5 linked regions of the Tribolium castaneum genome follow. The protein of the gene in region 3 purifies or fractionates together with the protein of the main gene of each other region. This does not show direct contact. Links are inferred from orthologs where the notes say so. Each region holds a gene or a part of one and is shown on either strand. Other genes may lie near its edges.

Region 1 (6,726 bases), on a different chromosome or scaffold from region 3:
TTCATAACTAATATTTCCAATATATATTTACAATTATAAACTAATACAATAATTTCACAATAAAACAGTAGGCCAATCAAGCGGCATCTCCTTTCTCCTTACTGAAAGCTTGATTGAAATTAAGATTCGCTCCCTCATCGGCTAACATTTCGCTTGGTTGGCCCACAAATGAAAAATCAGTGTTAGTAGCCACAAGACTGATTGCGTTGAGTATTGCTTCGTGAAGTGAATTTTGCAGCTAATAACACCTGTAAACGGTCCAAAATTTCTGATTCTTAATCACAGCTGTACCAATTGGTGGTGATACAATAAGCACTTAAACACTAGAGTAAATGTGAAAGGCACTGTTACAATATGTTAGTGTAAAATATATTTTAGAAATTGTAAAACTAAGACTACAAGTAACCGTTGTCAATAAAATATATACATATACGTTACCAATTAAAGGCACAAAATGGAGGGATTAGTTCAGTGTGAGCATATTTATACGAGTTGAATCCTTCGCGATGCAACAAGTCTGGTCCTGGGAGGAGCAGGGGTGCATTGCACATACAGTAACAAGTAAAATTAAATAGGGATACAGTTAAGTATTCCTACCAATTAATAAAATTTTGCGAAAACATTATCACAACGTTAGATTTGGAACAGAGGTTAAAAGTTATACATGACATAAATAAAAATTGTTAAATAATTAACTCTAATACAACAATAAATAAATATTGAATTTTGCGTTCAGTACTCAATAATTTGATCGATATCTTACCAAAACTGACAAAATATCATCTGCACCATAAACTACAACTCTAACTTAAAAATTACAAACTATAAAATACATATGTATGAAAAACATACCCAACAGTAACTGATTTGAGAATTACAAATGCGATAAATGTAAAATTATAATAACATTAAAAATATGTTTTGATTATTATTGCCATTTAAAGCGTATTCAAATGGTACATATTGCAAAATAACGATACAGACGACAGTCTTTACCATCCAACTGCCAAACTTTGTCTTAAATTTCTATCAATATAAAACATTCGTAGAAGCTGAGCTACTTAAGTAGGCACTTTATTACAACCAAATGAGCACATTGTCGGGCTTCGTAGTCGGCGGATTTATTAACGATTGTACATCATCGTCTAAAATGACAGTCGGGAACTCCTCGCCCAAATCAGTCGGGAACTCTTCGCCCAGTTGGAGCGAAGGCACTAAATCCTCCGTACAATCAAAAAAATCCTCCGGCGTGTGAGGCATCGAATACGTCGTCCCCAAACCTGCAAGTCAATAACCCTTAGGGGAGAATTGCGTGACCAGAACGCTATTGATCAACGAAAACACCGAATTCTTGATCAAAATGGCGCCAAGCCAAATTTAAAGCTTCGCACATTCTTTTTCAGTATGAAATGATAATCATTTGGAAATATCGGTGTAAACAAAGCAAAACAACATTTCTCGCACATTCCGCGCCGCGAAAACACCCACCAACAATCAAAAAATTTACCTAAGCCGCTGTCGGCGGACTCCTGCCTGGAGTGGTCGTTCAGAAAGGGGTCTAGCGCTAAGTCGTTGGAACTCCCCCGCATCATAAGTTCCTGTTGCATTCGAATTTCTTGCTGTCGCAATTTCAGTCTGTCACGTTCGAATTGCAACAGTTGTAGTCGAAACTGTTGCTGTTTAGCCGGCGAGGATTGCGACAAAGAGCCACTTGGCCACGACTGCCCACTAACCGAAGCCGTGCCGGGAGATCTCTGTTGCAAATGTGTGGCTGGAAAAAAAATCCCAGATCGAAAAAGCCCCTTTCCCGCCCGTGTGGCTTAACTTACGAATTCGAGGGTCAAACCACGAAGTAGTACGTGTTTGATGATTTATGAAATAAATTTCTCCCTCAGGAGTTTGTGCCTGCTCCCAACCTTCAGGCAAAGGGCCTAAATCTACGTCTGTACTCACTTTGGCAGCTAGAGAAAACATTTTCCCCAATTTAATTATCAGGATCAGGCAAATCAGCAAATGGAGTTCAAAACTTTCAACAAGGCACGAGCTGCCACTTTTGGATTTTTTTGAACTGCATTTGGCTCTATCATCAAATTGTACCAGATTTGGCAGAACCATCGAAACTACTTACGGGGCGTGGAATTGGGGGCTTGGGCCTGCGACACCTGATGAGAACTTAAAAGCTGTTCGGCACTTTGGTGTTGTTGGGCTGCCGCTTGCGCAGCCAGCGACTTTCGCGGGTCTTCCCAAGTTGTGGTCCGAGTTATGTGGCTGCAAACGCAATTCCAACGTAAAACAATGTGCTTGCCACTAATGCGAAAGGGTTTTACCGACCAACAAACTAATGGCATTCTTAAACCGCTCCAAAGTGGAGAAAGATGCGAAACTAATTGAATTTTAAGGAGAATTTCATTTTCTAACTTAAAACAAAAGCCACGGTATTCGCAAGAGTCCACCACAGTGCCAAAATATTTCATTGTTTATCCGAAATAACGTTCAAGATCACCAATCTTTATTCAGTACGTAATAAAGCAACCAACAAAAACCTTCAGTTTTTTACCTGCCCAAGGATTGGAGAAAAGGACTAATTATCCCAATTTACAAGAAAGGGGACAAACATCAAGCGAAAAATATTACTGTTTACTAGATGAGAGACTAAGAGCAGAAATGCATGGAAGAGGCATGATAAGCAAAATAATCCAAAGGTGTGCAAGTGGTTGGTGAGAAGAATAAGAGGAAATTTATGAAGAAATAAAAATTGGTGAAGAAACAAGGTTGTTCGTTAAGCTCTGCATTATTCTTATCAGGCCTAGGGGACATAGGCGAGGTTCTAAGAAAGGCACAAGTTGGTGGAACAGTATAGGCAGAGAGAAAGTGCAAATCCTGGCGTTTGCAGACGATTGTAGCAAAAAGCAAGAGCGAGATGAAGGAAATGATAAAAATAATGAAAAGATACGTAAAGTAAAAGTAGATAAAACAAAAATGATGGTGTTTGGAAAAAAAAAATAGAAAGGAAAAAGGATGAGTGGCAATTGGAAGGAAAAAATATAGAACAGGTGAAAGAGTTGAAGTATTTGGGTTATGTAGTAAATAGCAAGATGTCAGACAGCCCATATAAAAGAAGCTCCAAAAGAGCAAATAAGGTTTTAGGAGCTTGGGAAAACGTCAATTTGGTGAAAATACAAGAGAAGAATGATGTTTGATAGCTTGGTGAAAAAGTATATAAAATGAGTGATAGCGCTAATTGCCGGGGTACATAGTAAGAGAGGAATCAGGAAAGAGAGCTGTGAAATTTGAAGAGAAATTAGGAATTCGGAGCAGAAATGAAAACATCAAATGAAAATGTTAGATGGATAGAATTATGGAAGAAGGGGTATGCGTGTATAGAAATTGAAAGAAAGGGGAAGAACAATGGAAGATGAACTGAAACTGAGAGATGCGGACATAGATGGGCAGGGAAAAATAACAAGCATAAGAGAATTGAGGTATAACGCAAAATATGCCATGCTTATTAACGATGAACTCTCCAAATACTTAAGTAAGATGGAAAGTAAAGATAAAAAGGGGAAGTGAGGAAAGGGAGAACGAATTATGGAATTATGGATTGAGACAGAATATGCAGATTACGTGGAGAAGAGACGGAGACGTTAGACGTTCTAAACGAAAATGGTGAAGGAAAAGAAGAAAAAAGAAGTGTAAATATACATAATGTAGAATAACAAATAATTTCGAGAAAAGCCACATAGACAATAAAGACGTTATATAACAAAAAATAGTAATAGTTTTTTACTTTCAGACAAATGGCTAAAATACAGATTAGTAGTAGGATCAGCAATTTATTTTGTTTGGAAAACAAACATTTACGTGAAACGTCACACAGAAAGTGGATAATCCCCCATTGTTCGTTTTTTAATTGATAAGTGCTACAACAAACACTTGATTATCTCTATTCCACGGAAAGATTAAACCGTGGCGATATGAAATCTTGACAAAGGTAATAAATTTAAAAAAGAACAAACAGCCACGTCATAAAACGAGCAAATATTTTTATCCCTAAGCCTTACAATCAATTATGCAATAGTAATGAAAAAGTCAGGTTCACACGATTTTTGGTCGAACGCAACACTTGTTTTATTTTTAACTTTATCAGTAGTGTAAATAAGAGCGCCCCTTGACCTGGCATTGAGTGAAATTGAGCCACCCTAATACATGCCCATTTAATTGATTTAATTTAATTTGAAAATGCGAAAGAAAGAAAGAAAAAATGTGAAGTTCGGTGAAATCAATGAGGAGAGTTGGAAAGTTTTCTTGAAACGTATTTTCTACAAACGATTTGCCAAATATTCTTGGAAGACGAAATGAATGGCACTGAGTCATTGAAAAAGTAGAAATCTACCTGTTTTCAATGATACATGGATATATCGACCTTTAAAGGCCAAGCCAGGCAACAGGAAGTGACACGTGGTTGTAAAAACTGAAAATAGGAGAAAATATGATCCAGTGCCAATAAAATAAATCTCTATTATTAGCCAAAGTTTTGCTTTATCATATTATGTAAATTGAACGGCAACATGGCGTCGCTTTGTATTTCGGCAACGGCAAGTGGGAATCAGTGGCGCCAGCGTTACCTTAATCAGGAGTTTATCAGTGCAGTTTGCGCAATTGTTAATTAATTGGTCAAAAGTGGACGTTAATCATTTGGAAAAATTTATACGGCACCTAACTGTAAATTGTTATTCTTGTTAAGGAGCAACTATTTATTATTTATTCTCGAATGCGATGACCTTAAAAATGTTACAAAGGAAAGATATGTTATATCGCGTTTACTTTCTAATAATTGATTGGGATAAAGACCCGTGTTTGCAATCGAGACAATGGAGAATACCTAGGAGTGGAATCCACATCTGGGTGGATTTTAATAACAGTCCACCACATACCTACGTGTACTTGCCTCTCTGAAAAATACATTCAACAATCAATGCGTCAGATACCATTTAAGACCACCAATCAATTTTAATTTAACCAAAACACAGCATTAATCTAGATGCTGTGAAGTTTGAACTTTACTCCCAAAACCTCGATGGGTCTCAACAGGATACGAAAAATCTGATAAGCGCGATCACATGGAAAGTGGATGTAGCAGCTGATAATAACAAATTAGCCGGCGCTCGAACCCGGCCTCTGACGCAATTATCCACTAAATGAAAAATTCACGCCTATTACATATCGATAAGTTGCGCGGTTTTTAATGAGGCAATTGTGGAAAAGAAAGTGCGATTTGGTAAAAGTCCATATTTAGTTAATTATCGAATTCCCCGTCACATGTTGTGCGACGCCAATGGTTTTCCGGGATAAAAATACCGCCACAAACTAAAAATATCACAATATAGCCACACTTATTTCAAGTAAAAACAGAACATTTAATTTATTCAGAGAAATGTTGTACAAACGTTCAGAAATTTTAAATTCCAATTTAAATTCAATCTACAAGTTTTGAGAAATTTAGCCGACATTAGCTCCGTTAGTTTATTCAACTACACATAAATAAAATACAGTACTTCAGCGACATATTTTAAATGTCAAGGACCTTTGTTTGTGATTTGATAACAGGGACGCGGGATGGCTTTTCATCACCTTGCTGCGAACATAGGAAACTGATTTAAAACTCGCGAGCTTGGGAATTTATTTATAATAGCGGTAAATTTTAAACGGGTTAAGGTTAACTCACTGGGAAAAAATACAAACAGACGCCATCATGGAAAATGGCCGACCGTGCCAAACACTGGATTAATAATTCGTACGGAAGTCCACCATCGTTGTGAAAGGATTTGTACGTTTCGTAACCATAACAGACGTATTCTGTTACTTTTAATTAATTCATTCATACACGATCGGGAGGTGAAGTTTTCATGGCCGACGAAGGCCCGAATTTTTCCCGACGCGAGACCGTAACCATGTAACAGAATTAAAATAAATAGAGCGCACCACAAATAATTAGTGATAATAGTTCTTTAAGACAAACAGGGCTAATTTCTTAATTAGCTACTGCTTTGTTCCAGTTTGAAACAGCTCAAATGAGCTGACTCGAAATTTGGTCCCGCAGTTGGCGAGGGTAACACCTCTTGCTCACTTCTGGTTTAATTAAGTTGGTCCGCACGTGTGGAGCAATAAAACAAATAAATAAGACGCTAGAAGTGTAAATAAGTTCATTATTTTGCTTGTGCATTCGGCAAAAGGTTCGACGTCCGACTTAGGCGCCTAGAATTTTAAAATCTAAAAATAGGCGTCTCGGCGACTAATTACATGGATGTGGAATAGAAGCCCTAACTGCCAAAATGTGCGATTTTCGACTCGAATCACGCGAAAAACTAGATTTGTTTCAATCAAACAAAACAACTGACTCATGTGCAGGGCCGGACTCGAACTCTTGCCAATATTCACACAAACGAGAGTCATTTGTTTATGCAAGACGGTGGGATTTTTGCCATAGACAATCTACAAGTCAATTGCGGTGCCAAAACACTCATTTTGCATACATTTCAAAGTATTATGTCCCGCCAATGAATATTTAACAATCGGCATAGATGAAAATTTCGCTCAATCGACCATAAACTTATTTTCCCAGCACAGGAATGCGTATTGTGCGCTTTTATAATGTTATCACGCACCTGAAAATCGCGCAATTATGTAACACGAGGCTTATTTCCGCCGTTATCAGAAAACTCTCCA
Region 2 (6,726 bases), on a different chromosome or scaffold from region 3:
GTAGTTTGATTGTCCGGCATTGCCCCGTCCGCAGGAAACGGACGAGAAGTTGACGAAATAGTCGAGATGTGGCGCTAGTGAACGGGAGGCGGCGTCCAGTTGTTTGCTGCCGTCGACTTTGGGCTTGCAGGCCGTTTTGTAGTCGGCTTCGGTCTGGTTTTCCATCATGGCGTCCCGGAGGACCACGGCAAGGTTGAAAATACCGCCAACTGGGCCCAAACCATTGGCTTCTTCCAGCAAACGGCGGGCCCCTTTTTCGGTGGTGGCATCAGCGGTGGAAATCAATACTTTTACGCCTGAATCGCGCCACCTCCTCACACACAGTGACTGGTACCCGGTCTTGATCCCACTGCGGGACGTTAGCACGATTTTGGAGGCACCACGTGTGATGAGCCAGTTGGCTAGTTCGAGCCCGAAACCACCCAAGCCGCCCACGAGGACGTAACTCTTGTCCGGGTCCATGTAGGTTCGAGGGATGGCAGTCACGGTCTTGGGTTTAGGGCGCTGCGCCTTGCGACTTTCCTCGTCCCGGATCTTGAGGACGACTTTACCGATGTGTTTGCCAGAGGCCATGAAACGGAACGCTTGTTCCGTCTGATTTTCGTTGAAAACGGTGCTTGGAAGCGGCTTCACAGCCCCGTTGGCAATGCCCTCGTTAATCAAACGGACGACTTCGCGCTTATCGGGACCGTCACTGTCCAGCAACGCGTCAAGGAGAATCCCATGGAACGTGGTATTTTTCAAAAAGATGCTCATACCCAGCGGCGAATTGTTCGAAAGATCGACTTTACCAATCTCCAAAAAGCGGCCCCCGATTGCCAGACACCGCACGGACGCTTGCAGCTGGTGATTCGCCAACGAATTGAGGACCAAATCAACGCCACGGCCATTGGTTTGAGTCAAAACCATTTGTTCAAAGCTTGTATCACGCGAATTTCCAATACAGTCGTCGTTAAGTTGCGGGAACGTCTTCTTGAGGAAATCCCTCTTGGCTTGACTGCTCACTGTCGTGAAAACCTTGCAGCCCATGTGGAGGGCTATGGCAATGGATGCTTGCCCCACACCACCGGTACCAGCATGGATGAGAATCGACTCGCCTGGTTTCATGCCACCGCGCACAATAAGGGCGTAGTAACTTGTACCGTAAACCACTGGAATTGTTGCGGCTTCCTCCAAACTCCATTTCTCCGGGACTTCCCATAAAAATCCAGTGTCGGCAATCACAGTAGTTGCGAGACTCCGTGCCTCAACCATCCCCATCACTCTTCGTCCTTTACTGTCCCGTCCCGAGAATTCCAAACCGAGGATGCAGTCCTGTCCGGCCAAATCGCCAGGTAACGCGTCCGGTGGGAGTTTCCCAGTCGCTAGCATAATGTCACGGAAGTTAAGAGGGGCGTAATAGACGTGGCAAAGCTCGGATTTGGCGTCACCGCCTTTGTAGTAAGTCAAGGGGCCTTCGATCCATCTCAAACTGGACAAATCACCCCGAGTCAGAGTGTTAATGTAGGCGTGTTCCACTTGTAATTTGCCACCGTCGTGGTCATGGTCGAGCAAAATGTGTCTGAAGGAGCCCCAGACGTTCTTTTTCAAAACATTATGGACCAGATCTTTTTTCAATTGTTGTTCGTAAGCTGACAGGGAAAATTTCGGTGCGTTTGTGTCCTGGATGAAGACGGCTCGGATCCCAACACCGCCTGGCTCCTGTTTCAAACAATTGACCATTCCGACTAACCCAGTGAGTTCTTCCCCTTGGACGTACAAGTAGATTTTGCTACCGTCACCTTCACTCTTCTTCATCGCGTCTTTGACAGGTTCCACCCACGCGAAATTATTTTCAGTGATTTGGATTGCAGTTGAGTCAGAACGAACATCGACCGGTTTTCTCAATAAGACATAGCTTTTCGTTGGCGTGACTTGAGTACTCACTACGATGAGCTCCGTTGTTGACAATTTGCCACTGTTAATGGCCCCTTTGGGTTCTTCCAGAAGCACGAACCCGCCGTCTTTGATACAGTTGGCGGCATTTTCAATCAAATTAATTTTGCCGTGTGTTAACGCATCGGTTAGCACGACAAGGTGCAAGTTTTGATCGATTGGATTGGAACTAACGTCTTTGTGGACCACTTTAACTCCACTGCTTTCCAAAGCTGCGCTATCAATTGAATCAGAGGTTACTACAGAGGCGTCAACTGCAAGCATAGGTTCCCGTTCGAGGATATCTTTAACACTTGGTGCTAGAATCGCTTCGACCGGTCGTCCACTCACAACTTCGGCCACTTTGAGTTTCAGGGCCCCTGAGCTGTTTTCGAGCACCGTTTGCAAAAGAACAGTAAGGGCATGCGTTTTAGCCTTGTCTTGATTCTCGCTGAGTGCTGTGTTATTTTCAAAAGGCACGAATTGGTATTTTTCCAATTTGGGTGGTGATTGTGCTTGTTGGCGTCTGGGGGCCAAACTGGCCTTCATTCCGCGGAGCTCAATACCCCCTGATTTGATAACCCCAATATTGCGGTACATGTATACACTGGGATCTTCCTCTTTGAGGCCATTGAGGTACTGGAGGTGTTCCTTGGGGTTGATCACACATCGTTGCAGTCTAGTCGGGAGGTAAAGCTCGCGGGTGTTTTGCCCCAAGATGGAGAATTGGAGCATTGTATCGATGTAACTGATCCAGTTGTTGCTCCATTTGAGTTTTCCGGCGATTCCTTTGTTGTCGGATTCGGCAATTCCGCGGAAAACTCCGTCGTAGTCGTAACCGCGTAGTCGCAGTTCTTTGTAAATGTCGGCGGTGTTCAAGGGGAGTAAGTCTTTGGTTACTTCAGGGGTGGGTTTGGGCAAGTGCAGGAGTTCCTTGGAGACGTCTTCAGGGACGGAAATGCGGCCGGAGACGGCAACGGAACCACTTTCACACAGTTCGAATTCGCCAGTTCCTTCGAAAATGTTGATGAGGAATCGGACAGTGCCCTCTTTTGGCATGATTGTCGCGCGGTGGAATTGCACATCTTCGATGATGACGGGCAACTGCTCGTAGTCCTCGTTTCGCAGCTTGGCGAAGGTTTTCCATACGAGGGTCTAAGGGACAAAATAAAGTCAGTGTTAAAAGAATTATTTTTTACATAAAGTTGGTGTTTTAGATAGTTATAACAATAAAATTGCCACTGCTGACTGATATCTTGTCAAGAACAAAGTGTCTATTGAAAGATAAATTATTTCTAATGGACTATAGGTGTTAGTTGCGTATCTTTACATTTACTTTCAGCAAACTCCAAAACTTACTTTACGGCTGGTTAATTTTGTTTTACTGATTCTTATGCAAAATTTATAGAACGTACCAAGTAACCCGTGGCCGGGAAAAGCACCCTTCCCTCTATCGCATGACCGGCCAGGTACTGGTCATCTTCTTTGCTCAAATCAACTTCGATGACCAATTCCCCAGACCTTGAGCCCTTATCGCAGAAATTGGCCACGGCCCATTCGGTGGAGTGGTCCCACTGGATCATGGATGCGATCATGGGCGTTCCCTTACCGACCGGGAAGCTTACAGGGTGGTACAAATTGCCAACTTTAGGCTGGGCCCCAGCATTGTAAATCCTAAGAAATCGTTCAAAAATCTAAATTTTTACCAAAATTTTCAACTCACCGTCCAATTGCCGAAGTCAAAAACTCCACATTGTTTTCGTGCATCCGTTTCACCAGACTGATATTGGTGGACTTGGGCCCAATGGCACGCTTGAGGATACCTTGCAAAAGCCCAGCTGGTGCGATTTCAATAGCAATGGCGTTCTCAGGGACGTGTTTAAGCGCCTCGTGGAACAAAACGGGTGATAGGAGATTATTAACGTGATAGGCCGCTGAGCTTTGCTGTGCGAGAGGTGTGCCCCAGGCCGATTCAGGGATCGAGGACGAGATCCAGCGTGAGGTTCGTGGTTTCGGGTTAGGGATGATCGCCTCCAAGGCTTTGCGTAGCTTGGGGCCACCCTCGGCTATGTATTTGCTGTGGAATGCGATATTCGAGCTGTTGACTTTCTTGGCGAAGATATTTTCGGATGTTAATTGATCTACGAATTTATTGACGGCGTCCAGAGGTCCGGAAATTGTAACGTTGTCTTCGCTGTTGTGACACGCGGGGAACACATCAGGCGGGCAACGCCTCTTGGCCTCCTCCCATGTCAGGCCGACCGCAGCCATCTGTCCCGGGATTAGTTTACTCTCGATGATGGCTCTGCCTCTGGCGTAGGCCGCCAGGACGGCCTGTTCGGCCGTGAAAGTCCCATCGGCGTAAGCACAACCGACTTCGCCCACCGAATGCCCAACGATACCATCGGGCTCGATTTCCAAAGCTTTGAGGACGTCGGTTAGAGCGACCTGCATGGTGGCGATTGACACGAAGGAGTTGAGGACATTTTCGAAAGTCGCCTCGGTTCCATTGACTATAATATCCTCCAGGTTGATGCCGTGGGGTTTGAGGATTTCAGCGCTTCGTTTGATCGAGTTTCGGAACACTTCCACTTCCATCAGTTGCTTGGCCATGCCGGGCCACTGCGACCCCATCCCGCTGAACACGAACCAAACTGGTCGCTTCTCATTCGAGACTTCTGTAACTTCGCGAAGCGCCGGGTTACTGAGTACCGTAAACCCGCGATATGCGTGTCCAGTAATGTTACTTTTATGGATTTGGTCGATTAGAGCCAGGAACTCTTCGTCGTTTTTGTTCTTCTCGACATGGTCCAGGAACGTGTTTACCGCCTCAGGGGTGCGTCCGGAGACGCCCACCACTCGAGGAAGTGGGTCCGTGGGCCAGGACGCCTTCGGCTTTGGGTTCGATTTCAGGATAATGTGAGCGTTGGCTCCGCCAAACCCGAACGAGTTAACACCAATCAGCCCGCCTTTCCAGGGCTCGTTTTTCGCCACGACTTTAAGTCGACCGTCTAAGAGGGCGGGAATGTCGGTATTTGGCGATTTGAAGTGTAAATTTCCGGGGATCATTCCGGACTCCATGGCTATCACGATTTTGGCTAGGGAGCAGAGCCCGGACGCCGGTTCCGAATGCCCCATGTTGCTTTTAACCGAACCGATCATGAGCGGTTCTTTGCGGTTCTTGGTGCAGAAAAAGTCAGCGATTGAGTTGACTTCCTGGGGGTCGCCCACTTTGGTGCCGGTGCCGTGGGCCTCCACGTACGAAACCTCATTGGGGTCGACCCCAAACTCGGCATAAGTCTCTCGGATGAGCTGGTTTTGCATGGGACCGGCCGGGAATGTAATCCCCTGTTCCTTGTAACCGTCTGTGTTTATTTTGGCCCCAAGGACAGTAGCATAGACCCGGTGCGCAACACTGGCTTTTTGCAGAAAGACAACAACTGCGGCTTCCGACCTCACGTAACCATTCCCAGAGGCATCAAATGCCTTGCACATGCCTTGCGGACTCAGCATGCCCAGTCGGTGGAATTGCAACGAAGACGTGGGTTTTAAGAGGAGATTAACACCTCCAACTATGGCGGCATCACATTGCCCGGTTTTAATCGCAGTTATGGCTTGCTGTAAGGCAACTAAACTACTGGAACAGGCCGTATCTAGAGCATAACTCGGGCCGCTGAAGTCAAAAGTGTAGGAAATTCGGTTCGAAAACATGGCCCGGCAGCAGCCGGTCAGGCCGTAGCCGTTGATTTTGTCGGGGTCTTGGGTCCAGTATTCGGACGACTCGCTGTCGGAAACCCCGATAAAGACCCCGGTTTTGGAGCCCTTGATGTCGTTGGGGTTGACTCCGGCGTCCACGATCGCTTCGTAGGTCAGTTCGAGGAGAAGTCTGAGCTGGGGGTCCATCACGGTGGCCTGTTTGTGGTGGACGCCGAAGAAGGTGGCGTCGAATCGCGACAAGTCTTTGAGTTTGCCGGTGCGGGCCGGGAGGGTGTAGAGACCTGAAGGCCATCGTCGTGCATCGTCGGTTACTAGATCGACACCATCGAATAATTGTTGCTTGAATTCTTCGATGTTGCTGCTTTCCGGCAAACGGCCGGAAATTCCGGTGATGACGATGTCGTCGCTGATTGCGTTTACGTGGTGGCCGTTTTGTGCATCGGGGACTCGGGCAGGCATCGTGATTAATAAATTAAGTTCTGAAATTTTTCAACAATAACTTCACAATTTTGCAACAATGGACGAGGATGTGACGCGCAATTGGCTCATAAAGAAGTCGTAGAAACTCCGAGCGGTTATTTTTATTTGAGGCGAGCTTCAAAACTGATACGCTATCAAATCAAATGATCATAATTTAGTGTGTTCTTCTTAAAGTTCAATTAAATATCAAAATAAATGTAAATATTTTTTGACTTTGACATTGACAGGGCATGATAACAAATTCTCTTATTCTAGTTTAACTTTCGGTTCTGTCGTTCCTTAAACTGTAAATTTTTTGGCGTATATAATTACGAGCGTAACAGAAATCGCGTAACGGTTCCCACAATTATATTTTTAAGTCGATGTTTTGTGAGTACACTTTGCAGTTTTACAAGACTTGACACTATTTCCAGTCGTAAAATTTTATGGAACTTGATTAAAGTTCAATTGGGAAAATAACGCCAAATTTTGGTACTTCGGCTTCACTTAAAGAACCTAGTTATATGGGCCGTAACCATAAATTTTTGTATAATTATTACGACTGTTTTACGTTTTTTAACAAAACCAAATATTTTGCTCAAGTGGGTGCTTAAAACCGAGGTTGAAACGCATATT
Region 3 (7,259 bases):
CCACTTATTTTTTCACGCCCGTTTCTGGTAGTTTCACAAATGTAACGCGCTTCAGCGGCACGAAAAAAGATGGCTATAAGTATACGACGTGCCTTTTGGCGCAAAAAAATCCACACGGCATGGAGTGTGAGATGCACATAGATAATAAGACCATCCCAGCCAAAATACTCACGACAGACTATAGCAATTACGGTGTAATTTGGACCTGTCGTAATGTAACATACGACACAAGTTACCGTAAGTAAAAGTCTCTTAAGTGACAAACATTAAAATAAAAATTTCAGAAATGCTAGTTGTGTTAAGTAAATACAATAATACGAAGCTTAATGATTTGAGTGTGGTTAAACGTGTTTTAAATGAAACAACTTTGAGCAGTGACCCCGTCAAATTATCAGAAACCGATCAATCCCCATTTACGTGTAGTAAAAGTGTTTTTAATAACACGTTCACCAATTTTACTTCAATACATTCTGGCAACTCTCAAGTAACCACAAATTATATCGTCGTTTGTGCAATGTTTGCGCTTTTTATTATTAAGCTGTAACTTTTACTTTCAAAATATTCCAAGTCCCAATAAAATTCTAGCACAAGTGCAAATGTTTAAGATTTCTGTACACTGTTTTGGTTCCTGTATAAATGATAAATGTAGCGGAATTATTTCACACTTAATGTAACGTTCATTTATCAAATCCGAGTATTTTGAAACACAACATTGTAAATTACGTTTTATTTTAATATTAGTTCAGATTATTATTTATAAGTATGGGAATAAAAATAAATACATGTGTAATTTTAACTCCTTTAACACGTTCATTGCCTTCCAAACAACATTTATGAATCTGCGAAAATAAAAATGAACATTTTGCCAAGAATTTGAGACAGCTTGTAATTTACAACTGAAGTCATACATTCCCAGCGTGATTTTAATAAATGAGCCCATTCTTACATAAATAAAAATAGATAAAAGTTAAATAAGAACTCATCATATTCTCTCAACCGTTTACGATTTTGAAGGAGATAAGCGAAAAGTAAGCAAGTAATACTTTTCGTAACCCTAAAAACTGCGATGAACTAAACAAATCAATTGACAAAATATGTATTTACTATTGTAAGTACCAGCTTTAAACTTTATCGAGATTTTATTTTGAGCAAATTAAACAATAAAATGTAATATAATCGATTTATTACGTTACGTAAGTGCCCAATTGTTGAACTTCCTCGAGATAACGAAAAAATTATCATGGTTTGAAACCCTGTTCTGATTCACGTGCTAAAGGTGATTTATACCAGCAATAGCTAAAGAAAACTGTTACAACAAATAGCTCAATGAAACGAATATTTTTTTACTTTAGTTTTATTACTTTTTAATTGAACAATTACCTGGAAAATTGTGTTCAAAATTCAACAGTTTTATTATTTATTTATTAAAAAATATAACGTTCAGTCGCTTAAAGAAAACTGTGATGGCCTTAGCAGATTATTTTTCTTAAAAAAAAATTAATATGAATTACTGTTGGAGCGTTCTTTGACCTGTTTTTAAATTTGTTTTCCATCAGAAAATCAAACAAAAAGTTTAATCCAGTTAGGTGCAAAAACGCCACCTAACGCAACATACCAACACTGCTAATAGAGAAGATTCCTACCGTAATATACGAAATTGTGTAAACTTGTGAAATATTTTGAAAACAAACTAAACAGGAAAACACATTTACCAAATGGGGAGATAATTTTATGGGCATTTCAGGCAACATTCCTGCTTGTTTTCCACACTTAAAATTTCTCTCAATTTCTGATTATGGGAAGACAGTATAAAAAACTAAATAAATCGTCACCAAATATTTGCTCCTCCCGGCTTTAAAAATAAATAACTGCAATATGCCCAATCTTTGCACAAATAATTCGCAGTGCATGTCTAATAACCGCAGCAGTGATTATTTTGAATTGCCAGACCAAGTGTGCAAATGCTGTAAATTACACAATTTTTTCTTATCAAATACTTACAACACTTGAAAGCTGAACAAATCGCGTCACTATCCATGGCATGGTGATAGTCATAAACCGATTTCCCGACCAAATCTTCCGAATCGTATCCCAAAACATCCATCATTCTGTAACAATTTACGTAAAAACCTCGTTAACACTTTGGTAAACATAATACACACATTTTATCGTCAGCGTGCGTAAATTTCATATCCAAACTGTGTTTTGTTAAGAATGTTTGACGTGGTAATGGGGCTTCGATGTTGGAAGGATGCGGAATAGGTTGTCCTATTGCCACAAGACATCGGCGCAAAGTTCCTTTCGCATTTTCTTCATTTCCGTCATCTTCAGTTTGCACTATGTGACCAGTGCAATGGATGACCTGAATTGACCAAATTAGCAAAATTTCTCTGCACAGTTTTCAGCTCAGTACCTTGTAAGTCGCTGATTTGAGATTGACCGATCGGCCTTTGCTTGTAAGAGTACACTTAAGCCTGATAAAAAACGACTTAGGCGTCTCTGTTTCTTCCCGGGTCTTTGTTGATAAAATTTCCTTGATTTCGTCATGATCGCACGGATGACTGTACTCAAAAATATTCTGACCCATCAGATCAATCTGGAAGAAAAAGTCAAACATCTTGCCCAAAATCTCACGTTTCCAAACCACCTGTGTAATTCCAAGATACTCGCTGACATTCTCAGACATGTAAACAATGTCTCCCTCTGAAGACATCACCAGTAAAAACCCCTCTAATGCTTTCAAGAAAATTGATTCATCGGTTAAAATTTTGTGGTCGTCGGGCTCCGGGGCTTCCGGGACTGCAATTTTTGTTAAATAAGCGGAATTTTAAACTGGGGAAGAACGTTTTACCCAAAGTGATCATATCCCGCACCCGCAGATATGCAATGGCCAATCTCATAACGGAAGCTTTATCCAATTGCGAAACCTGTTCTTGTGAAATTGGCAGAGCGTTACCCAAGTCGGTAAAAACTTCGGTTTCTTTGGAGCGACGAGATCGCGCCGCATCTCTGGATTTTTCCTTACGTTTCTCATTATTCCTGGAATAAGAACAAAATTAAGCGAAACGAAGCAACAAACAAGTATTAACATTTTCGCTAAAATAAACACACAACTCTTCAGGCTCCTACCACCACTCGACTAAAATTTGATTATTTAATCATTAAGTGTTCGCCCAAACTACTCATAAGAAAGTTTCGCGAGAAAACACATGACAGACCCCGTGCCTGGACTTAATCCAAGAATACCACAAAAAACGAACTAATCATGTGATTTTATAATTGTGATAAATAAGTTAATAAAATGTATAAAAATAAAAGCGATGCATATAATTAAAAATATGCCTAGTCATTAATTTATTTTCCTTTCTAACTTTTCATAAAAATTGGCATAATCTTACAATGACAAAGTAGACATTATTTTTATTCCACTTCCTCTACAACCGACTTTAAAAAAACCGCAAACATTAACGACCACCTGTTGAATGAAAACTTCCAGACAACAATAAACTAAAATTGAATTAAAAAAATAGACAAACAAAATAAGGAAAATATCGGTGCCGTTAATAAATCCTAGGAAGTGTTTTTGCGATTCTTTACGTTTTTTTTTAAGTTACTGTCTAGCCATTGTTACACAAAAACCCGTGGAGATAGTAAAATAGTGGCACTTAAACTACAATCAATTGATAAAATCTAGCCTCTAATGTCAATCGGCTAATTATACTATTTACTGCCGCAACAATAAAATTTATAGTAAAATTAATTGGACTGATTAATTGTCATAATTAAACTATTGGTGAACATTTGTATAAAAGTTCAAGTGTTCTTCTTACAAAAGTTTGCCCTCTGCATACGAAAATCGATTACATAACCTTTATCTAATTGATTAAATTAACTATTTCCAACCGGTAAAGTGACGTCCCTTCAAGACAATGCTTTTAATTATTTCTCGCTGTTATCGCGGCATATTTGCCCAGCTGCGCCACTTACATGAAGTCTTCAATATCACCAAATTCAACAAACTGGCAAGTGTTATAGCACCCATCTGCATAATAACTATAACACTCTGTATAATCCCAATTGGAGGACGACTGGCACGGTAAGGCCATGCGAGCCAGGAGACCATTAGGTCTAATCCGACTGTTATGTCGATTTGGAATCGGTTCAAGGGTTGCATTATTTAATCCATAACTGGTCGCACAATTCACATTTCCCAAGTAAGGGCTCATTTGTGAAGTTTGTTGAACCGCGACACCGTCTTGTGGAAAAGTACTACACTCCATTTTAGTTAACTGTCGATTAGTGACGTTAAAAGTGGAGAAATTTTTCATAAAACACCAAAATATTGAACTGACACGTGCCTAAAAACGCGAATTTAACCTACATTATGTTTTAGCCGAGGTGATACTAACTTAACCGTAAGCTTAAGTACTGTCTTGTGGCTTATCTAATCTTTTGCACTTGAAAATCATATTTACTGATTTTTTTAACTGTTATCAACAGCTTTTCGTTAAAAAGCATACATTTCGTCTCTAGATTTTCCTCCCTATGGGTATGCAAATAGCCATATTATCGAATCTTCAATTGTGCTTATAACGTTATTGAAGTAACAGTTGGGATTCATGAATAAAACATAGCAAATGTGAGAGAAAATAACCAATAGATTGTATTCGAAACCCCTCTATCTCTGAGCGTTTACGAACCCTTTCAATAAGCTACTTTTATTTACTTTTTTGCTAAAGTAGCTTTTACTATAACTTAAAAACCAATAGTCGGGAAGAAATCAGCGTTTCCTATTAAATACTTTATATTTTTCTCTTAGCATATGAATTTTTTCATTTAGTTTCGAACAGTGAAACCTTCAAAAATTATTGCAAAAAAGACGCTTTTTGTACTTTTGAATTTCTTAAAGATCTCTAGATGATAGTGTCAACTTAACTACATATTTAAATTTTGAAAAAAAAATTGTTAAAAGATGAAAGGTTTTTCTCATTTACTTTGGAACTCACGTATAACAGAACGAAAATAAAAACAAAACTTAAATTTTTATTCCTAATTATACTCGGACGGAAGACTAACATTTGGCAATTCCTCAATTAATTCGCGATATACATTAAATAAGATAATTCTTGATTCTTAAAATCGAGAAAGTGTGATCCCATTTATTTTAATACGACACGCAGCTTCCACGAAAACTATAATTAAGAAGCAGCACATTATTAAAGAAATACGTGCTAAAAGTAACGTTTTAGCGACACAAAAATCAAAGCTCTGTTTTTTCAACATGCAAATCATGTTAATAATACAGCAATCCCGGCTATTAGACAAGAGATTGATAAGCCAATTCCACGAAATACTAAGGAGCTTCGAGCAATTTAGCATTTCTAGACCTTGGTCTTAGTGATGATTTTATTTATGAACAAAGTGCGAAAAGGAAAACAACTATTTTAATTATTCTTACTTAGACATTATTGCAAATCACCGTAGAGGATAGCACTACAAACCAAATATTTACGGAATGTTACACTGCAATTACCTTATACAAAGTAAACATTATAAAAATGATTTTTACTCAAGGGAAAAATTAAGGCATTGTAAAGTACAAAAATAATTGCTATCGTCTGACGACCTCAATCTAACGGAATAGTTATTATCATAGTCGTACTATCACCAGATGATAAATTTGGACCATACTTCAGACTAATAGTCCTAGAGATACAATGTAACAATACGCTTATCGCAAGCCAAATTCGTATTAAAATTTATTGGGACGGAAAGCTATTATAAATATCGAAATGTCGAAACCTATCACTTTACATTATCTTTACGATCACACTTGACGAGAAAAATCTTTAGTTTTAATTAAAATTTTTCCAAAACCCTGAAAACAACAAAGTCAGTTTATTTAGTCCACAAAGATTATCAACGATTAGCATCACTTCTGTCAATCTCCTGGTGCCTCAAGAGCGATTTTAGCTACCGTTCCTTCAAGTATCTTGATAAAAACTTGACATTTATTACAAGCATCAAGGCTATTCAAGCCTTAACCAAACGTTACATTTAGAACAATTTGGTTCGAACACCGGCTGTTTACCGCCAAGTAATCAATTCCGAATATGACTTAACATAAAATTAATCTATTTTTAACGACTTTGAAAAATTTTCGAATTTTAAAAGCATTAGTTCGGTCGATTAACGCAACAAAATTCCTCCGATGTCCATCACTCGTCACTGAAATTATCCAAAGTCTGCAGCCCCGCCAAGCAATTTTGCGACATCAGTGATGACGTCTGTCCAAGACATACAAGGCTATATACAATCACAATTCAATGCTCTTGCTATTTCCATCGGGCTTGCACACGTTCGCAAACCACCGGATGTGGACAACTGCACAAATCAGCCGTACCGTTCAGAGAAACGGAAAATTTGCATCAAAAAACGGAATATTTTCATACCAAACACGTGTAGAAAATTACAAATCTGTAACCACTTGAGTTCTCGACAAGTACCAAGTCCTGATCTTTAAAATCGGATTAATTGGACAATTGCATATATGCATTCGTTTTGCGGTGAGTTGCATCCTGTTTGACGCCTAAACGGATGATTTTGATTCAAAGCTCGGAACTATAGCGGAACACAACCGAATGGAAATATTACAAACAGGAAGACTGTGGTTTCTCATTCGTTCTTCGAATCACCTCATTGATCAAGGTAAATGAGACAAAGTAACGTAATATAAATTTTAATTAATTGTGATCATCAACGCTTTGTTGCGAGCTTTCCGTGCGTAAAACCAAATCAGAGTCCAAAAATTATCTAATAACAGAATTTGGAAATATCTAATCTTCACATTACGACCTTGACTTGTTTATTGTACTTCCCACATTGCAACATGATGCACTTCTCTCTGCAATTAGCAATTTTTGCATTAGGAGGTTTCAACACCTGCATAATGCAACTTAATGAGTGAAAGTCTAAAAACTTTCATACATTTAAACTTTCAAGATCAACAATGCAACACTACGACAGAAATTCACAAACAAAGCCTTCCAAGGTAAGAAAACATCGAATCATCGCGTGATCTTATTCCAAACGTCTATCATACGATAAAAATATATTATTTTGAAGTGCAATCTAGAAACACACCTCATACCGTATCAAGTGCAATAAACAGGAGAAATGATTTTGATAAAAGTTTACGTAACGTGCAATTTTTTAAGACCTTGTAGACTATCAGACTCCTAAAATTTGATCAATTTTAT
Region 4 (6,270 bases), on a different chromosome or scaffold from region 3:
CGCCCCCATGCCCAACCTACCGTACTATCCGCTATCAATAATTTACAATCAATCAAGCTAGCCGCGTATCTGTGATACTGTTCGGCGGTTAGTTGCAAACTCTCCCTAATTTCGCGAAAAGTGAGCGAATCCGTGTGTTCAAACAGCAACAAAGTGGCCATTTGAAACGTCTGCATTGTCACTAGATACGATTTTTTCAAATGGCCCAACTTCAATTCCGCTTGACACAAATTATGCAACCATGTCAATTTGCGACCGTTGAACCTATTATGATAGAAATTTTCAAACTGTAAGAGAATCATTTTAAGCCACGCCCACATGTGTACCATCTCACCATTTGTACGCTCTTCTCCAGTTGTCTAGGATACGTAAAAGGCGTGGTCACCGTCTGGCCCAATGGCCACGCCCCTGCTTGTAATACGTATATACTGAAATTAATTCCGAGGTCGATGTTGTCTTGTTTCAAAAATGCGTTAAATTTATTATTGAGATCCGCACTCACTGACATATCGGTAAACATTCGATGCAATTTACTTGTAAATTCGTAACCGCATGCTTGTTTTAAACGATTGATCATGGCCTCCTCCGCATCCATACTTTGCGTTTGTTGGTGGATGAGGCGTTTGGCCAACATTCGAGAATAGAATTTTTGAAATACGTCTTTGTCGTCGATATATTTGAAAATTGTTATGCTCTCGGCGAGCTTTTCGTCCACCTGGAAATAATCGTTTTTTCATAACCAACGAGGTAAACATTTTTTTTTATTTTTCATGACCAACGCGGTATACAATTTTTTTTATTTTTCATGACCAACGCGGGAAACAATTTTTTTGAGTTTTCCTGACGAACAGGAAAATCGAATTTTAAAAATTTGATTTTCCAATTTTTTTTATTTATTATTATTAAAAAAATTAAATTAAAATTCCAAATTTTATGGATTTGTAACGTTGGGAGATTAATTTACAGCAAGGAATATTTTCAAAAATTTAACTTTAACTGCCGTAACAACAACCAATGAGTCAACCAAATCTCTTTGTTCACACGTTTGCAGATAATATTTTTTTTGTTAGTGACGTTTTATCCGGATATTCTTACACAATTATTACGGATGTGCCGTTTTATTTTAATCAGTTTGTCACTTGCTAGTGTCGCGTACGGACGTCTTATAAACTTAGAAATTAAATTAAAAAAATCAACATTTTGCTAACTTTTAAATTTGTGTTTAAATAAATAGTGCGCGATTTTTTAATTATAGTGAATGCCAATTGGAATAGATCTCTGAAATCGTGTTACAAGGATCCGGATTAAAGGGTTAGTTTGAAAAATTTTTTTACAGAAAAATTACATTAAATTAAATTAATGACGTCCCAGGTTAAAATTACACGGAATTTTTGAATAATTAATAATTAAATGAGCAGTTTAAACATTTAATTTATATAATTAATTTATTTCTTTTGTAATTTTAGTTTCATTGGTTTGTACATTAAACTTTTTTTTCATTTTTTTATTTTTTGAGGATTAACTTAAATAAATAGCCTTGACTCACAACAATATCTAATAAATAAATAAGTAAAATCATAATCTTCTCAATTATTTTAAGTGCAGTTTCTACATAAAACCAGTTACTCGTATTTTTAGATTAATTTTATTGTTACCATAATTATATAGATTTTTTTTAATTTCAGTAAGTTCGTGTATGAAGATGAGGCTTGCTATAAAGGGTAGCAGAAGTAGATGCCTAAGGTGAGTGTTTTTTTTTTCGTATTGATTTGTGTTTTTATTTATTTATTTATAATTTATTTTTAATGCACTTTTTTGCGAGACCCTGTATAATAAATAATACGAATAATCTCAAAATAAAACTTTTGACAACAAAGTTATTTAAAATTAATCAGTTCTTCAACAGTAAATAAATAAAAACAATAAAAGTTTTTAAGTAAAAGTAAGAAAAAAAATCAAACTTACCTCCGAATCGCTAATCCCTTTACTCGACTTGCGCAACAATGCGTCGCAATACTTGGCCAAAAATTCGGGGCTTTTACACACAGGCTTGCCAAACTTGTGATTAATAACGGAACTGCAGGCCTTATCCAAAGCCCCCATAAAATTCTGATCCGACTTGAACACCTCTTGAATCAACAATTTATATTTTTTATAAACCGCTAGCATATTTTCGACGAACGTTATGTGAATATTTTCGGTATCAATATTACCAACAGCCTAAGAACAACAATAAAAAAATCCCTAAATCGGTAAACCACTCGTGTAAAAGCAACAAACCGTCAATCCTTGCGTCTTAATATGGTCCAGAACGGTATCAACAAGCACAACCATTGCATTTTGGACGCTTTTGAGCAGATCGTACATATTTGAGAGGTCCTTTTTGCGCTCACCCTGTACCATTGCCACGCATTCGCTGTATAAAAAGTCCAAATGTTCGGCCACCATGTGTGTTTCACATCGTTGGGAGACTTTCGGGAGGGAACTGGTGTGGAGGAAGCGACGTGCACGTAACAGTTCCTCCTCAATTCGTCCCTTGACGCGCTCCATATACAGGGAGACGTTTTTCTCTTGCAAAAGTTTGGCAGCGTCGCGTTTAAAATGCTCGCCGCTTTCTTTGAGGAACGGCTCCTCAAATAACTCCTGGTACAGTTGCAGTTGGCCCTTTTTCTTGTAGCCCTGCACCTGTTTTCAATTATTGTGAAAAATTTTGTTAGAAAAATAAAAATCATTCAAAATTACGTATGTATGCAAGATTACAGCACATTCGAATAACACGAACTCTCGCAAATTTGTGTCAGAAAAATTAAACAGACAGATAAGACAATAAGCAAGTTAAATAAGAGCTTTAAAAAACACTCGTTTTAGGCGAAATTTTGTCAAAAAAATTGGTCGGTAATGGTGTTATTTTTACGCAAGATTTGCAAAAACAAAGCGAAAAATTACGAACTAAACCGATAGCTTTGGCCTTTTTGGCTTGATCAAAGTTTTAGATTACTTTTAAGTCAGAAATAATTACATATTTCGCAAAATTTCATTAACGACCACTTCAGAAATACGCCAAAATGAGTTTTTTTTAAGTTTTTGAAGCCTTTAAGTACATTTTATAACTAAAATTTCGACAATCGCTTAAAAAACACCCAACTAGTTCGGAAATTATATTATGATTTTCCCTTTTCGGTCGTTAATTTACAAAATAAGTCAAAAAATCATCAAATTTCGCCGAAAATCGAGTATTTTTTGCACGTTTCTGCGTTAAAACAAAGTTTTTTCGAATAAACGGACGGAAAAATCACGTAATTAGATCGAGTTTTTAAGTTATTTTAAGTTGAATGAAAAATAAAAAATACGAAATACTCAAAACTAGACTGAAAACTATATTATTTTGACATTTTCAAACTTTTAAGCACGTTTTTGAGTTAAAACAAAGGTTTCTCGAATAATAAGGCTAGAAAATCACCACATTAGATCAAACTTAATGTTATCTTAGCCTATTTAAGACGACTTACCTCATTTTTGAGCAAAAAACAACGCCAAAAGTGACTTTTCTGTTTGCATTCCTCGAAAATTTCGCTCGTTTTTTAGTCAAAAATTCATTATTTCAGAAACTTTAGTTAACAAAATCTCGAAAAATCACCAAATTAGAAGAAAAACATCGAGTTATTTTGTGCTTTTTCAAGCCTCTAACCATGTATTTTAACTTAAAAACAATTTTTTTTCCAATTAACTTGCAGAAAAACCACCAAATTATATTGAAACTGATGTTATTTTAACTTGATTTAATTCGTTTGTAGGCGAAACTTTATTAAAAAAGCATTATTTGGTTGATTTCGCGCCTTTTTGGTAAGTTTTTGAACAAAAATTTCTAGGTGTTTTCAAAATTTCGCTAAACCAAAACCAAAAAAAAAACCAAAATAAAGTCGAAACTAGACCGAAAATTATATTATTTTGACATTTTCAAGCTATCAAGTACGTTTTTGAGTTAGAAACAATGTTTTTCGAATAAATAAACTAAGAAATCACCAAAACTAGATCAAAACTAATGTTATCTTAGCCTATTTAAGACGATTTACCTCATTTTTGAGCAAAAAAGAAAGTCAAAAGTGACTTTCTGTTTGCATTCCTCGAAAATTTCGCTCGTTTTTTAGTCAAAAATCCATTATATCAGAAATTTTACTTAACAAAATCTCGAAAAATCACCAAATTAGATGAAAAATATCGAGTTATTTTGTGCTTTTTCAAGCCTCTAATCATGTATTTTACCTTAAAAACATTTTTTTTCCAATTAACTTGCAGAAAAACTACCAAATTATATTGAAACTGATGTTATTTTAACTTGATTTAGTTCGTTTGAAGGCGAAACTTTATTAAAAAAGCATTATTTGGTTGACTTCGCGCCTTTTTGGTAAGTTTTTGAACAAAAATTTCTAGGTGTTTTCAAAATTTCACTAAACCAAAACCAAAAAAAAAACAAAATAAAGTCGAAACTAGACCGAAAATTATATTATTTTGACATTTTCAAGCTATCAAGTACGTTTTTGAGTTAGAAACAATGTTTTTCGAACAAATAAACTAAGAAATCACCAAAACTAGATCAAACTTAATGTTATCTTAGCCTATTTAAGACGATTTACCTCATTTTTGAGCAAAAAAGAAAGTCAAAAGTGACTTTCTGTTTGCATTCCTCGAAAATTTCGCTCGTTTTTTAGTCAAAAATCCATTATATCAGAAATTTTACTTAACAAAATCTCGAAAAATCACCAAATTAGATGAAAAATATCGAGTTATTTTGTGCTTTTTCAAGCCTCTAATCATGTATTTTACCTTAAAAACATTTTTTTTCCAATTAACTTGCAGAAAAACTACCAAATTATATTGAAACTGATGTTATTTTAACTTGATTTAGTTCGTTTGAAGGCGAAACTTTATTAAAAAAGCATTATTTGGTTGACTTCGCGCCTTTTTGGTAAGTTTTTGAACAAAAATTTCTAGGTGTTTTCAAAATTTCACTAAACCAAAACCAAAAAAAAAAACAAAATAAAGTCGAAACTAGACCGAAAATTATATTATTTTGACATTTTCAAGCTATCAAGTACGTTTTTGAGTTAGAAACAATGTTTTTCGAACAAATAAACTAAGAAATCACCAAAACTAGATCAAACTTAATGTTATCTTAGCCTATTTAAGACGATTTACCTCATTTTTGAGCAAAAAAGAAAGTCAAAAGTGACTTTCTGTTTGCATTCCTCGAAAATTTCGCTCGTTTTTTAGTCAAAAATCCATTATATCAGAAATTTTACTTAACAAAATCTCGAAAAATCACCAAATTAGATGAAAAATATCGAGTTATTTTGTGCTTTTTCAAGCCTCTAATCATGTATTTTACCTTAAAAACATTTTTTTTCCAATTAACTTGCAGAAAAACTACCAAATTATATTGAAACTGATGTTATTTTAACTTGATTTAGTTCGTTTGAAGGCGAAACTTTATTAAAAAAGCATTATTTGGTTGACTTCGCGCCTTTTTGGTAAGTTTTTGAACAAAAATTTCTAGGTGTTTTCAAAATTTCACTAAACCAAAACCAAAAAAAAAAACAAAATAAAGTCGAAACTAGACCGAAAATTATATTATTTTGACATTTTCAAGCTTTCAAGTACGTTTTTGAGTTAGAAACAATGTTTTTCGAACAAATAAACTAAGAAATCACCAAAACTAGATCAAACTTAATGTTATCTTGGCCTATTTAAGACGATTTACTTCATTTTTGAGCAAAAAAGAAAGTCAAAAGTGACTTTCTGTTTGCATTCCTCGAAAATTTCGCTCGTTTTTTAGTCAAAAATCCATTATATCAGAAATTTTACTTAACAAAATCTCGAAAAATCACCAAATTAGACGAAAAATATCGAGTTATTTTGTGCTTTTTCAAGCCTCTAACCACGTATTTTAACTTAAAAACTTTTTTTTTCCAATTAACTTGCAGAAAAACCACCAAATTATATTGAAACTGATGTTATTTTAACTTGATTTAGTTCGTTTGTAGGCGAAACTTTATTAAAACAGCATTATTAGGTTGATTTCGCGGCTTTTTGGCAAGTTTTTGAACAAAAAATTATATTATTTTGACATTTTCAAGCTTTCAAGTACGTTTTTAGTTAGAAACAATGTTTTTCGAATAAATAAACTAAGAAATCACCAAAACTAGATCAAAACTAATGTTATCTTACCCTGTTTTACACCGTTTACCTCATTTTTGAGCAAAAAACAAAGTC
Region 5 (4,012 bases), on a different chromosome or scaffold from region 3:
TTTCCTAATCTTTTTTTAGTTATTTTACTTGATAATCCCTGAGTGTGGTTGATTTTTTTTTCACTCAGACAAAGTAGCATGGGATTTTTTAAATGTTTTGTAGCAGTTTGGAAATGAACAAAATGAAGTTTTATAGTTATTAATAATACGAGTACAAAAACACAAGCTTAATGTTCGAGAGCTGTCGTTATGCAACGAGCGTATGCGAGTTGCATACCTAAACACCAGAGAACATTAAGCTTGTGTTTTTGTACTCGTATTATTAATAACTATAAAACTTGGCCGTTTATTTCCAAACAGCTGCCAAAGTTATTCAATTTTTTTGTTGGAACATTTTAATTTAAAACACGTTGCTTTAGAAAGCGTGTTTTAAAATAGTGTAATCTAGAATTCAAATGTTAAAAAGAAGGCGTAAAATTGTTACTAACAAAAAATGGTATATTTTAATGTTTACTTGATTTATTATCCAACTTTTTTCAAAAAAATTGTAAGAAAACATTTCACTTGGTTTTTGAAATGAGTTAAAAACACAATTTTAAAGGTGCAGTCAATAACAAATATTACTATGATAATACTTTTGGTTACAATTTTTCTAAATAAGTAACAATAAAGTATTCTCTTACGACGTTGTCACTTTTTGTTTTTTATTTCAACTTTTGTTTACAAAACGAAAGGTTTTGTGAATTTTTGTATCGCTTTTTATTTAATTTTATTTTTGTATAGCTCTTAAGGTTGAACTATACTGGACTCACGGTCCACGTGGCCGTGCGAATGCACTAATTTGAGAAATTTTTTTAAGAAAAATAATAAACAAAATTGTTTTTTTTTACAATTGGATGTTGTTCCTAGGTTAACATATTACTCATGGACCAGTTCTTATCTCGATTTAAATATTTGTAACCAAGTTATAACGGGGTAAACAGCGTAATAATCTTAATGCTTTTATGGAAAAACCTAAAGTTCAAATAGTATGAAAAAATACAGTATTACAAGTAAGTCATAAAATACCCACAAAAAAAATTATCAAAAAATATAGTACCATTTTTTATTAAAAAAATAAAATGACTAAAAATTGAGGTTTTTTCATTTTATTTTTAAATGATACTAACAATTTTTTTCAAATGGATGTATATTGTTGCTAAAGTTCTCAGAAAGTTAACATATTTTTTTCAAGCAATTTGAACTTACAAATTTTGCGTTTACGCGTTTGCTTGAACAGTTCCTCTTCGGATAGTTCAGCCGTAAGTGCCTGTCCGCAACTTTTGGCATACACGATAAATCAATTTTGTAACTTCATAGGAATAAACTAGAATATAAGAATAAACTAAAATAAACTATGCTACTGTAACCAAATAAGTAATAATTCAAAAATAAATTGTACCTACTTTGTAGAGTTAGTAAGAAAATTCAATTGCAATTTAAACAGTTAAACACTTGCTTCTTTCAATGTTAGCGTACAAAACCGTTACTCAGGTATATTGCTTATCGTTATCAACATATCTGTATTTTATTTAAACATTGAATCATACCAATACTAACCACGTATCTAATATATGGTTAAAAAGTTACTCAGGAGAACGAATACATGTAAATAAAAGATACTAAAAATACGAGATAGCAGCAAAATTACTTTCGGAAAGATCACCAAATACACAGAAAAAGTTTTCACTTTAGGAAAACGACTCCAATATTTTCATACAATCATGTTCTGTAGGCTTATTAGACTGATATCTAGTCAAAAAAAGGGTCAAATACTTGCTAAATGTTGAATATACTCTAAGAACTCTTTATTTCTATGTAAGAGAAGATCTTGTACTAACTAATAATGGAATAAATATGCTTATTAAATTGTAATAAAATATAATAGTATGGTACTTCCTTAAAGATTATTTCTCTAGAACGAGTAAAGAAAGCCCATGTATTATACACAAATTTTTTCTTAATTTTTTTATGAGAATGTATGATTTGTATGAATAATAGGCTCTTAGTCACAACTGGGGTCATAGATACCGAAACCTCCACAAGAAAAAGTGGAAAATAATCAAACAATGAATTATTGCAGAGGAAATAAACTTCTTCTAACAATCCAATTATAAACACACCATCTGGAATGGTTTTTAAAGGGAATTCTCATTGTAACCTTTGACTGTAACCGAATAAACTTACATTTGAAGGATGTTTATCAAACTGGAAACCTCTCTCAATAAGTGTTTACGAAACCTTCACACACTGATTATAATTAATTAACACCAAACAATTAAAATACAAGAATGCAACTTACTGGGTCTATTCGGGTTGGACTGTAAGTAACTCATGGCGAATTACCACACCACACCTGAAACATGGAATTCTCTGAATCTCATGACCAATCTCATTGGAATTTCGAGCAGTGACAAGGAATTGCCGGATGAGGAATCGTTACGTGCTTTCAAACCGAAACATTTAATTAAACACCAGACGCTTCGTTTGTGTAACGATCACAATTTCCAAAGATTGCAATCACAAACCGATCAGACATCGGACTAAATCAGAATCAGAATCACCCACTCACAAAGAGATCCATGTTGTCATACACAGTTCATCGACATTTTTAAAACTTGGCCAAACCACACAAAAAACTCACTCTCACACTTACAAATGAATGAAATTGATAATTTTACACCGAAATAACTTACCTTGCGCCACAAAATCACTTTTTCCCTTTAAATTACGATAATATACGATAACGAACACAACAACACCGCACCCAATCACAAATATCAGATTGGCTGGCAGACCTGTTTACAAGATGCTGAAATGTCAAAGGGAAAAATCATTGATTTTAAGGTAAAAATCTTTATTTCATGTATCAAAAAAGCAGCAAATGTACGGTCGTGTATAACATTTTTAAATACAACATTAGAGTATAAAAAAACGCTAAATTTATAATTTCTAAAGCTAAACTATGGTTATGGTGTAAAAGTACTTCAAGTAGCGCGGCGCCATCTCCCAATCAGATGCCGCACTCATTCAACGCCCACGACAGGAATCTTTAATTCATCAAATATTGTTTCCTGTTTTTATCACTTATTCGTTTGAAATTAGCATGGCGGGAGGAAGAGTGATAGCAGCGTGACCTGATAAGGTCACCGGTAAATCGGCAATGCCCCTTATCCAAGCACCTAAAAAATTAACACTGTTGCAATTTTCTTTTCACACAGTGCGACGTTGCCATTTTATCAGGCTAGACTATGAAGCTTAATAATTTATTCACTACGGAAGCGGTATTAAGCTTTGTTTGGGTAATGTGAGACGAAAACAAAGTTTACATAATGTAGTATGGATTTTGGATTAAGCCAACGCAAACTTGGCGCACTGTAAATGGGGAAAATAGAAGTTGTTTGTTTCATTGAGAATGTGGAGATTTTTAAAAACTTTGCACGCTTTTGTATGAAAGTCCCCGCATTTGCATTCATATGTGAAAAACGTGAATAATAAACTTACGACTTGGAATGAGTTTTAGAAAGTTAAGTATGGAAATGGTGTGACAAAACGCTCGACTCTGAATTATATTATCTTAAATCAGAATTACTCCCAACTTTGTTGGATTCTGTACACGACGACAAATTATTTCTTGCGCCCACACAAGTCTGTTCTTGCTATCGGGTGTTTTCCATAATTTAAGCTCTCAAGTTAATTATTTTCTGCCTTTTTAGGTATTGTAATTCATAAATTCTTTATTCCGAGTTATTCTCCAATTTCATTTAAAAATTCATGAAGTGAAATAAGAGAGAACAGACAAGCTCTTGAGGTATATTATTTCTCCCGAGTAACCAGCTTTTTATGATTTTCCCTCATAAACTGACACCCACTTTCTCATTTAGTTTTCACTTACCTCGCTTCCAACAAAAACACTCAATGTTGGATAGACATCTCATATAAATGGTTGTGACACCACCCATGATAAAAATCTGGGTACCAACATACGCAACAGCATGACCATGTCGTGGTATAGTCATGCCCATGATGGTCC

The links.
Region 1: the proteins of hypoxia-inducible factor 1-alpha (region 3) and yki purify together in Homo sapiens (affinity purification with western blotting; 3 studies listed by BioGRID and IntAct, with this or other methods). This does not show direct contact. The link is inferred for Tribolium castaneum from reciprocal best matches to the Homo sapiens genes HIF1A and YAP1.
Region 2: the proteins of hypoxia-inducible factor 1-alpha (region 3) and FASN1 purify together in Homo sapiens (affinity purification with western blotting; 3 studies listed by BioGRID and IntAct, with this or other methods). This does not show direct contact. The link is inferred for Tribolium castaneum from reciprocal best matches to the Homo sapiens genes HIF1A and FASN.
Region 4: the proteins of hypoxia-inducible factor 1-alpha (region 3) and Cul2 purify together in Homo sapiens (affinity purification with western blotting; 7 studies listed by BioGRID and IntAct, with this or other methods). This does not show direct contact. The link is inferred for Tribolium castaneum from reciprocal best matches to the Homo sapiens genes HIF1A and CUL2.
Region 5: the proteins of hypoxia-inducible factor 1-alpha (region 3) and armadillo segment polarity protein purify together in Homo sapiens (affinity purification with western blotting; 7 studies listed by BioGRID and IntAct, with this or other methods). This does not show direct contact. The link is inferred for Tribolium castaneum from reciprocal best matches to the Homo sapiens genes HIF1A and CTNNB1.

The regions. Positions count from the first base shown.
Region 1 is NC_087403.1:7,360,972-7,367,697, reverse strand, and holds the end of yki (transcriptional coactivator YAP1-A), read right to left. Parts: intron 2,269-6,726; coding exon 2,129-2,268; intron 1,962-2,128; coding exon 1,830-1,961; intron 1,772-1,829; coding exon 1,508-1,771; intron 1,281-1,507; coding exon 1,078-1,280; 3' UTR 9-1,077; downstream 1-8. UniProt on the Homo sapiens protein: Transcriptional regulator with dual roles as a coactivator and corepressor. Critical downstream regulatory target in the Hippo signaling pathway, crucial for organ size control and tumor suppression by restricting proliferation and promoting apoptosis.
Region 2 is NC_087394.1:32,849,124-32,855,849, reverse strand, and holds part of FASN1 (fatty acid synthase), read right to left. Parts: intron 6,111-6,726; 5' UTR 6,091-6,110; coding exon 3,638-6,090; intron 3,589-3,637; coding exon 3,330-3,588; intron 3,070-3,329; coding exon 1-3,069. UniProt on the Homo sapiens protein: Fatty acid synthetase is a multifunctional enzyme that catalyzes the de novo biosynthesis of long-chain saturated fatty acids starting from acetyl-CoA and malonyl-CoA in the presence of NADPH.
Region 3 is NC_087396.1:19,215,869-19,223,127, forward strand, and holds the start of hypoxia-inducible factor 1-alpha, read right to left. Parts: upstream 4,372-7,259; 5' UTR 4,329-4,371; coding exon 3,988-4,328; intron 3,040-3,987; coding exon 2,852-3,039; intron 2,800-2,851; coding exon 2,648-2,799; intron 2,597-2,647; coding exon 2,414-2,596; intron 2,363-2,413; coding exon 2,163-2,362; intron 2,109-2,162; coding exon 2,002-2,108; intron 797-2,001; exon of another isoform or gene 285-796; intron 238-284; exon of another isoform or gene 1-237.
Region 4 is NC_087401.1:15,830,312-15,836,581, forward strand, and holds part of Cul2 (cullin-2), read right to left. Parts: intron 2,686-6,270; coding exon 2,281-2,685; intron 2,221-2,280; coding exon 1,966-2,220; intron 716-1,965; coding exon 335-715; intron 288-334; coding exon 21-287; intron 1-20.
Region 5 is NC_087395.1:16,174,428-16,178,439, reverse strand, and holds the start of armadillo segment polarity protein, read right to left. Parts: upstream 2,801-4,012; 5' UTR 2,676-2,800; intron 2,641-2,675; exon of another isoform or gene 2,552-2,640; intron 2,336-2,551; 5' UTR 2,316-2,335; coding exon 2,282-2,315; intron 2,230-2,281; exon of another isoform or gene 2,167-2,229; intron 1,497-2,166; exon of another isoform or gene 1,386-1,496; intron 1-1,385. Other genes in the region: uncharacterized protein LOC660622, read right to left, coding at 3,067-3,161, 3,875-4,012. UniProt on the Homo sapiens protein: Key downstream component of the canonical Wnt signaling pathway.